3 linked regions of the Nothobranchius furzeri genome follow. The protein of the gene in region 3 binds, or shares a complex with, the protein of the main gene of each other region. Links are inferred from orthologs where the notes say so. Each region holds a gene or a part of one and is shown on either strand. Other genes may lie near its edges.

Evidence for each region.
Region 1: the proteins of kpna4 (region 3) and nfkb1 are in contact, whole or in part, in a crystal structure (PDB 7LFC), measured with the Homo sapiens proteins. The link is inferred for Nothobranchius furzeri from reciprocal best matches to the Homo sapiens genes KPNA4 and NFKB1. Residues at the interface, in NP_002259.1 of Homo sapiens: Arg96, Lys97, Leu99, Ser100, Ser101, Asp102, Arg103, Pro105, Phe133, Trp137, Thr140, Asn141, Ala143, Ser144, Gly145, Thr146, Ser147, Thr150, Gln176, Trp179, Gly182, Asn183, Gly186, Asp187, Asn219, Trp222, Val225, Asn226, Arg229, His230; in NP_001158884.1 of Homo sapiens: Glu357, Glu358, Val359, Gln360, Arg361, Lys362, Arg363, Gln364, Lys365, Leu366, Met367.
Region 2: the proteins of kpna4 (region 3) and ranbp3b are in contact, whole or in part, in a crystal structure (PDB 5XZX), measured with the Homo sapiens proteins. The link is inferred for Nothobranchius furzeri from reciprocal best matches to the Homo sapiens genes KPNA4 and RANBP3. Residues at the interface, in NP_002259.1 of Homo sapiens: Arg96, Leu99, Ser100, Asp102, Arg103, Pro105, Phe133, Trp137, Thr140, Asn141, Ala143, Ser144, Gly145, Thr146, Ser147, Thr150, Glu175, Gln176, Trp179, Gly182, Asn183, Gly186, Asp187, Asn219, Trp222, Val225, Asn226, Arg229, Asp261, Trp264; in NP_015561.1 of Homo sapiens: Asn114, Tyr115, Cys116, Pro117, Pro118, Val119, Lys120, Arg121, Glu122, Arg123, Thr124, Ser125, Leu127.

The regions. Positions count from the first base shown.
Region 1 is NC_091741.1:65,343,663-65,347,934, forward strand, and holds the start of nfkb1 (nuclear factor NF-kappa-B p105 subunit), read right to left. Parts: upstream 2,801-4,272; 5' UTR 2,535-2,800; intron 2,527-2,534; exon of another isoform or gene 2,384-2,526; intron 933-2,383; 5' UTR 928-932; coding exon 889-927; intron 1-888.
Region 2 is NC_091751.1:45,078,052-45,082,064, forward strand, and holds the start of ranbp3b (ran-binding protein 3b), read right to left. Parts: upstream 2,801-4,013; 5' UTR 2,786-2,800; coding exon 2,702-2,785; intron 2,403-2,701; coding exon 2,366-2,402; intron 2,295-2,365; coding exon 2,217-2,294; intron 2,108-2,216; coding exon 2,036-2,107; intron 1-2,035. UniProt on the Homo sapiens protein: Acts as a cofactor for XPO1/CRM1-mediated nuclear export, perhaps as export complex scaffolding protein. Bound to XPO1/CRM1, stabilizes the XPO1/CRM1-cargo interaction. In the absence of Ran-bound GTP prevents binding of XPO1/CRM1 to the nuclear pore complex.
Region 3 is NC_091753.1:52,632,043-52,635,542, forward strand, and holds part of kpna4 (importin subunit alpha-3), read right to left. Parts: intron 3,113-3,500; coding exon 3,026-3,112; intron 2,857-3,025; coding exon 2,687-2,856; intron 1,038-2,686; coding exon 993-1,037; intron 857-992; coding exon 725-856; intron 637-724; coding exon 508-636; intron 1-507. UniProt on the Homo sapiens protein: Functions in nuclear protein import as an adapter protein for nuclear receptor KPNB1. Binds specifically and directly to substrates containing either a simple or bipartite NLS motif.

The DNA.
Region 1 (4,272 bases), on a different chromosome or scaffold from region 3:
AGCATTAAAATAAAAAAACTGTTTTATTCACAGCTTTGTTTGTTCTGAGTCTCGCACAAACATCTGAAGGTTGGACTATGAAGCCAGATTTCCTTGCAGACTATGTTGAGATGAAAGTTGAAGTTTTCAGGATGAAGGTGGAGGATTTGTATCACAGAGAGTGTAGAGTGTAACAGAGAGTGAACCCAGTGGTTCCTAACCTGGGGGTCCCGACCCCCACAAGGGGGCGCCAAAGCCTCTCAGTGGGTCACCAGGACCTCTCCACTTTAAGGGGTTAAAACTTAATTTATTACTTGTTTATAGCCTACATTTTGCTCACATTTTTTTCATGAGTGAAAAGTTTACTGATATTAAGACAGGAAATAATTAGTACAGAAAAAGTAACACACTTTTAAGAACATTTTGCTCAGCTCACTGTTTTATTTTCAAGTGTCAAAAGTTCATTAAAGATACGACTGGTTGATTAATCACAGCCTTTACAGTAAATAATCTAGTACAAACAGTAATATACACATTTAAGTACATTTTGCTCAGTGTATTTTTTATGTGTCAAACGTTTATTGAAATGAATGATTGATTTATCAGTGTTTACAAGAAACAATGTGTTCAGAAAAGTAATACAAACTGTCAAGCACATTATGCTCTGTTTGGTTTTGTTAATGACTTTGTTCTGTACTGGAGCCTACTATTACTGTTATCTATTGAATCAAAGCATATTCAAATGTGCTTGAACAATTTGATCATTTCTTAATACTGTTTGTACTGGAAGAGAGAATGGGAGGGGGTCGTCAAAAATTTTACTGGTAAAAAAGGGCTCCCTTGGGAAAAAGGTTGGGAACCACTGCCCTAGATCATCATGGTAATGGAATGAGCTGCAGGTGAGTTTACCTGGTTGGATGGATGAAGGAAGGGGTCGTCTCCTGCCATTGTGTCTGCAAAAGTAAAAAACAATATCAAGTCAACAGTTTTATAATATACATGGACCACAAACCAGCCTTCTTTACTAAAACATAACAAAGATGGCACTTCTGCAAATAGTTCATTAACAACATCTTTTTATAAGTTGTTTTTTTTTTTACTTTAAAAGCCCAACAAAAACCTGAGTTTGCAAATCCATCAACTGTCACATTGCTTTAATGTATTGTCTTTGTTCAAATAAATATAAACTAAAGTGCAGCGCATGTTCAAGTTGAACCATGTAAAAGCTGCCAAACTTCCTGCTACTTCGTTAAACATCACAGCAAGCTAAAGAGCTGCAAAACTCATGTTCATTATTTTATCATTAATGGTGATCAACTATTAGGCAAATGTTATCTAAATGTAATGAACTACTGAGCAAAACCTGGAACAGGAAGCAGAATCAGCTACTATAAATCATTTAAACGCCAACGATCCTAAAGGTCTTTTTTTTCCACCAGTTGCTTAAATGATGAGCAGAAACATTTCATTACTGATTACAGTTACAGGCGAATGCATTTAAAATATGTGTAAAGTCATTTATTTAGAAACTGTGATGTAAAGCATTATTTTATCGCACGATTTATTTTTTTTTTATTTTTTTAATGTCTCAAAGGTAAACTGAAAATTGTTGTCTTAACAATTTCCGATTTGATAAAACGGTGTTTGTAATAGTTCGCACATTGAAAACATATGCGTTAATCTGTGTCTAAAAGAAAACACGTATTTTCCAGCACTGTTTTGGCAGTTTATTCTTTCTTTCTGATGCTCGTTAATGCCGCGCGCGCTCCGCGGCTCTTGTGAACGCGCGTGTCAGTTAGCTTCCTAGCTAACAGCTTATCACCGCCACCGGACTCCTGTTGTTTAAGCTTATAGAGTCCGGTAAAAACCAAGCCGTTACAACCAGCCAGCGGCTCCGCTGCGGTGACAGTAGTGGAGCTCTTGGCTGACAGAGTTGCTGCGTGTCCTTCGGTCCTGTCGGTGCAGCTAAGCTATCAGTCCCCGCTGCCCCACCGGAACGAGCCCTGTAGGTTTGGTTCCTTATGCGGAGAATGTTATGCCAAGGTCCATTTGAAAATCTAACGTGTCAGAAACACTTCAAATTCATGTTAGGAATACATTTTACATTGTTATTTTTATAACCAAACCAATTGGCTAATCATGCCCTAAAAATCGGCAAGTTTAACAATTTCATAATTTCTCATTTTCAACCTCTATTAAGCATTTTGTTGTACGTTACCACAAATAAGAGCGGGCAAAGTTCAGTTCAAAATACAAACAGATTGAAGCAAACATACAATTTGTGCAATGAACAGGCCGAATTTGTCGTGGGGTGACAAAGAATGTGTTCTGAAAAACACTTAATCTATTTTAGGGGATCGTGAGTTATAAAAGTAATCCCTTCACGACACCTCGTCAAAGTTACCTGGCTGATGAGGAAGTAAGTAGCATAACAAAGCAGTCCGTCAGAGCCGTAGAACACCGTAACGGTCTAGGGAGAAGTTCGGACCTCGAGTCCGACTAAACGGGCCAGAGTCCGGGTTTACGCGGTTCGTGTGTCGGTAGCAGGCTTTTACCTGGTTTACTCGATCAGGTGGAAGTCGGTAGCATGAAGTGTGACCATGAGTGTGACTCGTCCCGCTTCACTCCAGTTGACTCGTTATTTGTTCGCCATGCCGAACCCGCGGACCCACTTACAGCCTCGCTTCAGCCAGACAACATTTTAAGGGTCTGGAGCCACGGCCAGTTTTTAATCCACGCAGATTAGGCCCAAATGAAATCCAACAGGTGACAAGTTTGTCAGAATAAAGTGACTTGATTTCCTTCCCTACTGGAAATTCCCTGTGACGTAGAGCTCCAGCAGAGAGGTGAGAAAAGAAGATGGCTCACCCTGACGACAAAAACGGGTCGTCACACAAAGTCCACTTTATGACGTTTTAGCTTCGCTATTTGTGTCACCATTTCATAAAAGCCAAACCAAACATCTAGAAGCAACGAGTAATGTGTCACCCATGGTGCTAAAGTTGTTTTGATCTACTATTTTCTTATATTGATTCATTTTATTGATGTTTGCAGACATTCAGCTCTCTGCCTGTGGTTTTTTTAGTCCGGACTTTAACCGGACCCTGGCTCTTTTCTTTCTGCTTTTATAATAGTATCGCGTGGACATCGGGTCAGTTTCACTGCATTGGCAGTAAAAGGGGGAACGCAGGGTGTGTTCCAACCATGGATGTAGTTTTGACTTTAGAAGTGTGTGTGTGTGTGTGTGTGGGGGGGGGGGGGGGGCGGGGTCAACCAGGTATCCTTACAGTTAAGTATACAAAAATATGTAAAGAACTACAGCCTAGAGGCTCTTTTATGCAATGTCAGAAATGCTGAACTGTTGAGTACACAGGTGGCAGGAACGGCCAATCACATGTTAGCAAGTATCAGCATAGCCAATAGATGAGCGTATGGACATTCTAATGGGAAACAGGCTTCAACACAAGCGGTTGTTTTCCACTTCATGCTAGTGCTCAACCAGAGTCCATTTATAGCGTAATATTGTATTTGGACAGTTAAAAGTGCAGGGGACCATGTCCCCCACCAAAACTACATCCATGGTTCCAACTACAGGGGTATCAGACTTCTGAGCCTCCCTGGTAAGGTCTATTCAGGGGTTCTGGTGAGGAGGATCCATCGTATTGTCAACAGTGTTGGGAACGTTACATTAAAAAAGTAATTAGTTATAGTTACTGATTAGTTTGTCAAAAACGTAACTCAGTTACTAACTGAGTTACAAGATTGTGAAAGTAACTAATTACCAAGAAAAATAACTACTTAGTTACTTTTTTCATTAAAGCATGCAAGAATTACTACACTAGTGAAATATAAATGACTAATGACTGGAACATAATAAAATGTATGTCCAAATGTTTTTTATAAACCTGAATAATTTAAATAAATAAGCACTTAACAGGAGGAAATACTAACAGGAACATTACACTTATCTAGACTATTAAAAGGTCACTGTGTGATATTTAACAAGACCCCAATCAGCTAAAATTTAAAATTGCAAATAGAAACACCTGTAAAGGTTCCTGAGCCTTTAAATGGTTTCTCAGTCTAGTTAAATTACAGAAATGAATGCAATTTTGCACAGCATTTTAATTTTTCCAGCTTCACATCTATTAATGGTTAAATAAATAAATAAAATCCTTTAAAATGACACTAGAACAGGCACAAGCCTGATGGAGGACTTACATTTACTAACTTGGGTCAGACCCAACCACAGAAGAGCTGAAGCTGGGTGGTAAACACACACAGGTAGTTCTA
Region 2 (4,013 bases), on a different chromosome or scaffold from region 3:
AACACGGTTTTGGTCAAAACTCTAAACAGAGGGCTTGCTGCAGCAGGATTAGTCAAGAAACAGAGGAAGGCAAGCAAAACTCAAAAAAGCACAGTGTCCACTGGACCCCACCGGGACTGTAAGGGGCAAATTTTGGACCAAGACCCTCGAAATGCATACAGGAGGACTCACCACATCAGGTTTAGTTAAGGAACTGGGAACAAGTAATGGTAAAAAAAAAACACCCTGGGGTGCATCTGAACCCATTAACTCATTCACTGCCAGCTGTTCCCTGATCAGAAAAGCCCTTTGCTGCCAGCATTTTTCAGCGTTTTCACAGTTTTTTTTGTAGGAGTCACGGAACGTTGCGCACTATGATGATGTAAATGCCAAAACTGCCAAAACAGAGGAGACTCGCCTTTACATCAGGAAGAATCCGTGCGTTTCGGGCATTCTTCATTCTTTCATAATCAGTTGTCAAATTGTGATCAGCAGAAGCTTTTCCGGTTCGTGCCTCACTTTTTTTACAGCAGCGGCCCAAAACGATCTAACACATGGATTTTCTGCTTCCTGATCACGTGACGTGTGACGTACGCGATGAAGATCAGCTTTAGAGCTGGTGTGTTTGTTCTCACGGTGCGGGGGCTCGTTCCGACACCCACAGCAAAATATGCAAATGACGACTTTAGTCGTCATTGGCAGTGAATGAGTTAAAAACAGAGGAGGGGTTGAGTGTTTTTCTTAGCAACTATTTTATCACCCAGGTCTTACCCGATTCTAATACTATTAGTAATTGTGATTACATGGTGGACAAAGTAAAATGCACCCAAACAACGGAGTCTGGAAGTAAAGACAACACCTGCACCAATTCTCTTTACTAGTGATGGGGCTTTAGGCTCTTTGAAGGGAGCCGTTCGTTCGAGAGCTGTTCAAAAGACTGGCTTTTTTGAACCAAGCGGAGCGATGTCCGTGGGAAAGAAAAAATCAAAAATAAGTAATCTGATAACAGCTAACAGTAACACTTTACAATAAGTCTCTTTATTATCATTACTTAGTGCCATATTAAGCATTAATAAACAAAGGATACCTTTATTAACATTACCCATAATAAATGTCCTCAAGATTAGGACAAAGGGCCGGGGGGGGGGGGGGGGGGGGGAGCAATGCATTACTTAATATTTATATTAATATTAAGCTGTTGTAAATACTTTAATGGTTTATTAATGCTTAATAATCCACTAAGTAACATTAATAAAGGGACCCTTATTGTAAAGTGTTACCCAGCTAACTTGATACAAAGTTACAATAAGGCACATATAAACTAAGTGACCTATAGTTTTAATGAGTTTAATAATAAGCTACTTGACGTTTCCCAACAGCGATCAACAGCAACATTTGCCAACCAAGTTATGTCTTCTTTTTATAATAACAAATAATCTGTTTCTACGGTGTTCAGTTCTGTACTTTCTGAACATTTAGATTAATTGTTTTAAATTAGAATTATATAATTAAAATTTCAATTATGAACAGAACTTCATTACAAGCAACCAAGATCATAATGGACTTTGGAGAATTAGAACCATAATAAGATTTAAAAATAAGGATTTTGAGAAGCTTTCCTTAAGTAGGTTTAGACTATTCACATACCAGGCATATGCATCACAAATGTTTTACATCTTTAGTACGAGCCGTTAAAGATGGTTCACAATGACAGATAAAAAATGAGAAAACTCGAGGTCTTTCAATAGTACTAAAAGACAATCCCCCTTAAAGCCAAACACCAACTCTTTAAATGTATTGGTCCCTAAAAAATTGGGTAATATGTTATGTGATGACATCACCATCTATAAATAATGCAATGAAAGTTTCTTGTTCAGATTTGGGTAACAGCACTGTGAACAAAGTTGCACTGGAAAATGTGTTTATGTATGCCAGTTGTCTTAAACCACTGAAAAGCTAAGTGTTTATGATATGTAGTGCATGTCAGCCTTCCGTAAACCTTTACTAAAGAAAGTTTTATAGCTGTGGGACACAGAAGCTGGTCTGAATAGCTCACCTGGCTCAGAATCAGAGTTCCCAGTCGGAGACTGGCAGAATGTTGAGGGCATGAATACATTGTTCTTGGGAGCTGCAAAAGAGCAGACAGACATTGCACTGAGAATACAAATCCATCTGTACAACACAAGCAAGGACAAGAAAGAAGGTAACTGCTTTGCTTAGTAAGCGTACGCTCTTACCAGAATGTGGAGGTGGGAATGACGATGTCCTTTCCCTTTTTACAGGGGGGCAATAGCTTCCCTCGTCTTTATCCGAGTCTGAAAATTGGAGCAAATTCTTAAACATCTCAAATCAAAAGAAATTTTCAGCTAAGAAACACTTTTCTTACCTTCACCATCTTCTGCGCTTGAGCCCTCAGCAGATCGCTACAAGAGTGCAATAAGACTTTTTACTTATTATACATCCAAAGAGAAGTACCAACCTCATACCAAAAAAGGACAGGATACAAGTTGTTTCCTGCTGAAATACTAAGAAAATCTAATTAAACTAAACTCGCTTTAATCGTGTTTTATGGCTTTTTAAGAGGCTGTGAAAGAATTCAGCTTTAATTTTTATTTTATTAACAAAATTAAAGCATGGGTTGATAATAAATGTTAAATGTCTAAAAAAAAGCACCATGATATAAATAGGCTTTACATTAATGAAGAAAAATGAGAAAACTTACCTTCTGTGCCTTATCTTTTTGGAAAACAAACACAGGAGGTGCAATGGCAGGCTTGTCTGTTAAGAAAATATTTAGGCTAGTCATTCAAACACCAACCTAAAATGTGCTGTGATCTTTTTGCTGCTCACCAAGTTAAAAACTAAAAGCTATGCTAAACATAAGCAATATCTATTGTTTACGACTACAAGATTAACAGAATATACAAAAATAACTATCACATGAGTGAATATGCTAAATCAGTGTGGTCAATTTTGTGTATAAACACGATTACTTCTGTTGATAACATCTAGAGCCATTCTTGCAGTTTCAAGTCCTTCTCTTTAGAATGGGGGACAGCAGTAAGACCGTATCGAAGGAAACACTGCTTTGTTTGTGTGAAAGTATAGCCTGATCAAACATTACTTTAAATAATCTATTATGGCGGAACCCCTCTATCAAGACAATATTATTTTCCCATTTGCTACCTATTATTTTATTGCAGCTAGCAGAAGCAGATCTGATTGGTTACTGAAGAAAGCATTTGGTATTTCTACCTACACCTGCTATAAGCAATGGTGGTTACAATTAAGATTGTCTTATGTTGTTCTAAATTATATGATGTGGTAGGATTTACGCTGTACATGCTTCTTCTAGTTTTGTAAAATGCTCCCAAACTTTTGAGCTATGTTGACAGATCGCCACGTCTTGTTTATTCCGGTGTCGTGACGGCGCACCTGGATGGCCACTACTGCGCACGTGCCTCGAGCAGAAAGACAGAAAGCAGCAGTGTTGCTACAGCAAGCATGATAGAAAAAAAAACAATGCTTCATAGGATGATCAGAGTCAACTATTAAATTTATTGTCAACGTCACAGTGACGAATCGACTAATCGTGGCAGCAGTGAGAAGACAAAATGTCAAGCTATGCAAGTTCTGGATAGATAGCAACACTGTATACTGGGGTTATAATTTAGGGGAGGCCTATTGGTATTAGAAATAATTAGTGCTTAACTAATCAAGATAATCATCTAGAACTTCACAGCAAATATAAGGCCTAAAATAAATACACAAAAAGGTTCAAATAAAAAGCATGTGTGTGTGCAAAATATTTTGCCTAGTTGCTTGAATAAAAAATGTAGTGGCAAACCCCTCTCTTTCGTATGTTTTCAGAAATCCACTCTAATACCTTACAATCCTACAAAACCGTCATGGAGCAAACATCTAGCTACATTATTTAAAATAAAAATATGTCAAAACACTTCTAATTGCATTATATCAATATTGACAATAAACCTTCCAGTAAATCAGCACAAACAATAAACTATGTCTGCAAA
Region 3 (3,500 bases):
TCAGATAGAAATCAAAACATCTGGGGCCGACGCTCTGGAAAATGTTGGAACTGGATCAGAGTCCAGAGGTCGACTGAAGGTCGTTGACCTCTGGTTGAGACGGCGTGCTGCGGGAGGGGAGGGGTGATTTGAGGCTCTAATCATCAACCAGTCACAAAGAAGGCCTCTTTTTGAACGTGACTGGTCTCAGATGCACTCTTCTATCAGCACAGATACTTCAGCACCCTTGACTCCACCAACCCGTGACATCACACTCACTCACACTCACACTCCGCCCCCCTATCTGTCACCAACCACAAACGTAGACGAGTCTCATGTCTTCTTTTCCTTCCATCTTCTTCCTCTCCGTCGTCGTTGTGAATTCCTCCTACCGTCTATCTGATCCCTGCATCACCGTTCACACAGCATCCACACCGGCACAAAGTCTCAGATTTCATCACTTCCAGACCAACGGTGTCGCTTTTTCAGCTCTTCTGTGTTTGGGGCAGAAAGACGGGAGACTGGTACCTTGTTGATTTTCTCCTTCGGGTGAGTGAGGAGTGCTGGGAAATGGCTGAGGGCGTCACAGTTGAGCACCACCTGCGTCTGTTCATCAGTACCAGTCACGATGTTCCCAACAGCTCTCAGGGCAGCGGTCTGGATGTGGAGCAGACGAGTAAAACAGAAGGTTAGCCGTCGTGCCGGATGAGCCCTGAGGTGGAAGGCATCAGACTTCTCTACAAACCTGAACTTTGACCTCCTGGTGACTGAGCAGAGGGACCAGGTTAGGGACGATGCCGGACTCGATGACCATCTGGATTTGCTCATTTCCGGCGTCTGTTAGGTAGGACAGAGCCCACACGGTGTCCACCAGGATCTGCAGGCAGCAGAGCAGCAAAAAAAACATTTTATTTGGTGTTACAACTGAAACTTGAAAATTTATTAAAAATGGTGCCGTTTTACTAAACGCTGTAATTAGCAAATATAAACAAGTATGGCAGAGGCATACTCACACTGACATCAGTGTGGTGGATCAGCACGCAGAGAGCTGGCAGGATCTGAGAAGACAACATGACAGAAGGCTTCAGAAACAGAAGATGGAAACAAGCTGCAGGTAGGATGACTAACCACCACACCTACAATTAAACACGATCACTAAGGGAGCACCAAACTTTTTAGTTCCTCTCACATTTCAAACATTATTTTCAAGTGATGACGGCCATTAAAAAGCAAGTCACCTCCAAGTTTACTTTTTTTCTGATAAACCACATAAATGCGTGTCTGATCGTGCTGCAGACACATATAGTCTAGTTTTGCACTTCAGTGCATTTTAGTTAAAATTTTAATTTTCTGCCTAAAACTGTCAGTGTTGTGTCGTTGTCAGGTAGAAACTCTGCACTGCATTTCAATTTAAATCTGCCATCGCTATTGGCTAAAGCCTGAGTCATGCTTCTGCGTCAGTGCGGAGACACGCAACGCCATTATCCGTCCTTGCGGGCCCGCTGGAGAGCTCTGCAAGGACGGACGGAGTCGAGCTCTCTTTTCTAAACATCCGTCCGTCGAGATGGAGAACACAAGCTTGTGATTGGTCAGGGCACCGCTGTCGTCTACACCGCCGCCATTACGCTCTCAAAAACATAAAGAGAGCCGAGGATAACTAGCGGCAGACACGGAGCAGCTTGAAGAACACCTCGCGAAAAAACTCTAAAAACATGAACATCTAATTCCCCGTGACTGGAGGAGTGAAAAGATGCGCAGCAAGCGTTTTATTTGTGGACTGAAATGACAGAAAACATGAGTTTAGAGGTGGGGAGCGCATGAAGAGGTGGAGGAGGATGAGAGACAAATTTGTCTGTGTTAAAAAGTCTCTTAAATACAAAAAAAACACAATATAAACACACATCTTGGACCGGTACATGACAGGATACCACAGAACAGCGCTACGCCCTCTGTTGTCCTGGCGGGGAATTGCTTTGCAACACTCCCCAGGAGATGGAGAAGTATGAGGGGAAAATGTCTCCGTCCGTGAGTGCGTGTCTGTCCCTGTTGGAGTTGACGGAGAAGCATGAATCAGGCTTAAGAGTTACCCTAGGACGTTAGCTGGTACCATATGATGTCACAATGTCGCTGTGAGCCTGTGTGTGTGTGTTAGTGGCTTCGCCCTCTCGGTCTGCTAGGCAACAGCATTGGTTGCATTTTTTAAACAGGAAGTGGGAGTTGAGTAATAATCTGGTAGGGGGTGACTTGCTCTTTAAAGCCCAGGTCAAGTATTTATAAAGGTACTCTTGTAGTTTCCAGTACCGTTATTTGTATCTGAATCCAGGAAATAAGAGACCCTAAACGCACCATTACACTAAAAAATAACAAATACAAAACAGGAAAGTGAAAAAGCCACAGAAGGAACCTTACAGCTGACTCTGGTACATTCATGTGATGAATGAATGAATGAATGAACGCGCTACTGAAATCACACATTAATATCATTAATTACCTAATGAAATTAAACCAAAGAGAAAGACTGACTCTTTACTGACATCAACGTGACTAGACTTGATGCAACAGTTTATTTTAGTACTTAAGAATCAGGGAATATTTCACTTCTTACTGGTAAAAATAAATAAATAAATAATTTGGAACGGAGAAGGAATCGCTCAGATCTTCCTCAGATCCCGTAGGAACAATATTACACTTTTAATCTGTGACTCACCTCCTGGATAGTCTCCATTGGCGGTGGGGGGTCCTTGTGACGGCACAGGTTGACCATGACCCAGGTGACGTTGCGGAGGAAGGTGATGGGGATGGAGGGACTGATGAACGACAGCAGGGGCTTCACCACTCCCAAGCTGATCACGTAGTCTCTGCACTGTGGACCATCACCTGTACAAATTCAAGAGTTTGAAGTTTTTGTCGTCTCACCCAGAAGATGTGCTTTTTGGGAGACACACAAGCACACACACAGCCTCGGGCAAAAACATTATCGTCTGCCCTTCAGCCAACAGTGTCAGTCAGTGAAGGTGTACGCACGATCGTGCTGGCGGCTGCTTACCGATGATGTTGCCCAGAGCCCAGACGGCCTGTTCACACACGTTCTGGTGAGGAGAGTGAAGCAGCCTCAAGAACAGCGGCACGGCATCTACGACAGAATGGGATTTCATTTAGACGTCACATGAATCCAGAAAACCTGGAGCAAACGGAAGTATTTTAATCCCCATCTGGAGTATGAGTGGAATTTATACAACCATTCAAATCTAAACAAACCATTATTGAACTACATGATACAGAATAGTACAGCTTTTCCTGCCTCTTCTCTCCTGCACTAAAGAGCCACAGCTGCAGCAGGTGTGAGGCTACACGGACGCACACATCCACCCAGAATCTCTTCATTAAAACACTCTGAGCCAACGAGCAGCTTCCACCGATGCTGAACTTTAAACACTTTGATAAAACAAGAGAAAGAGTTGATGTGTTTGCTGCAGCACACATTTGCACACGTCTGAGAAGTTTTCATCGGTTTGATTTCA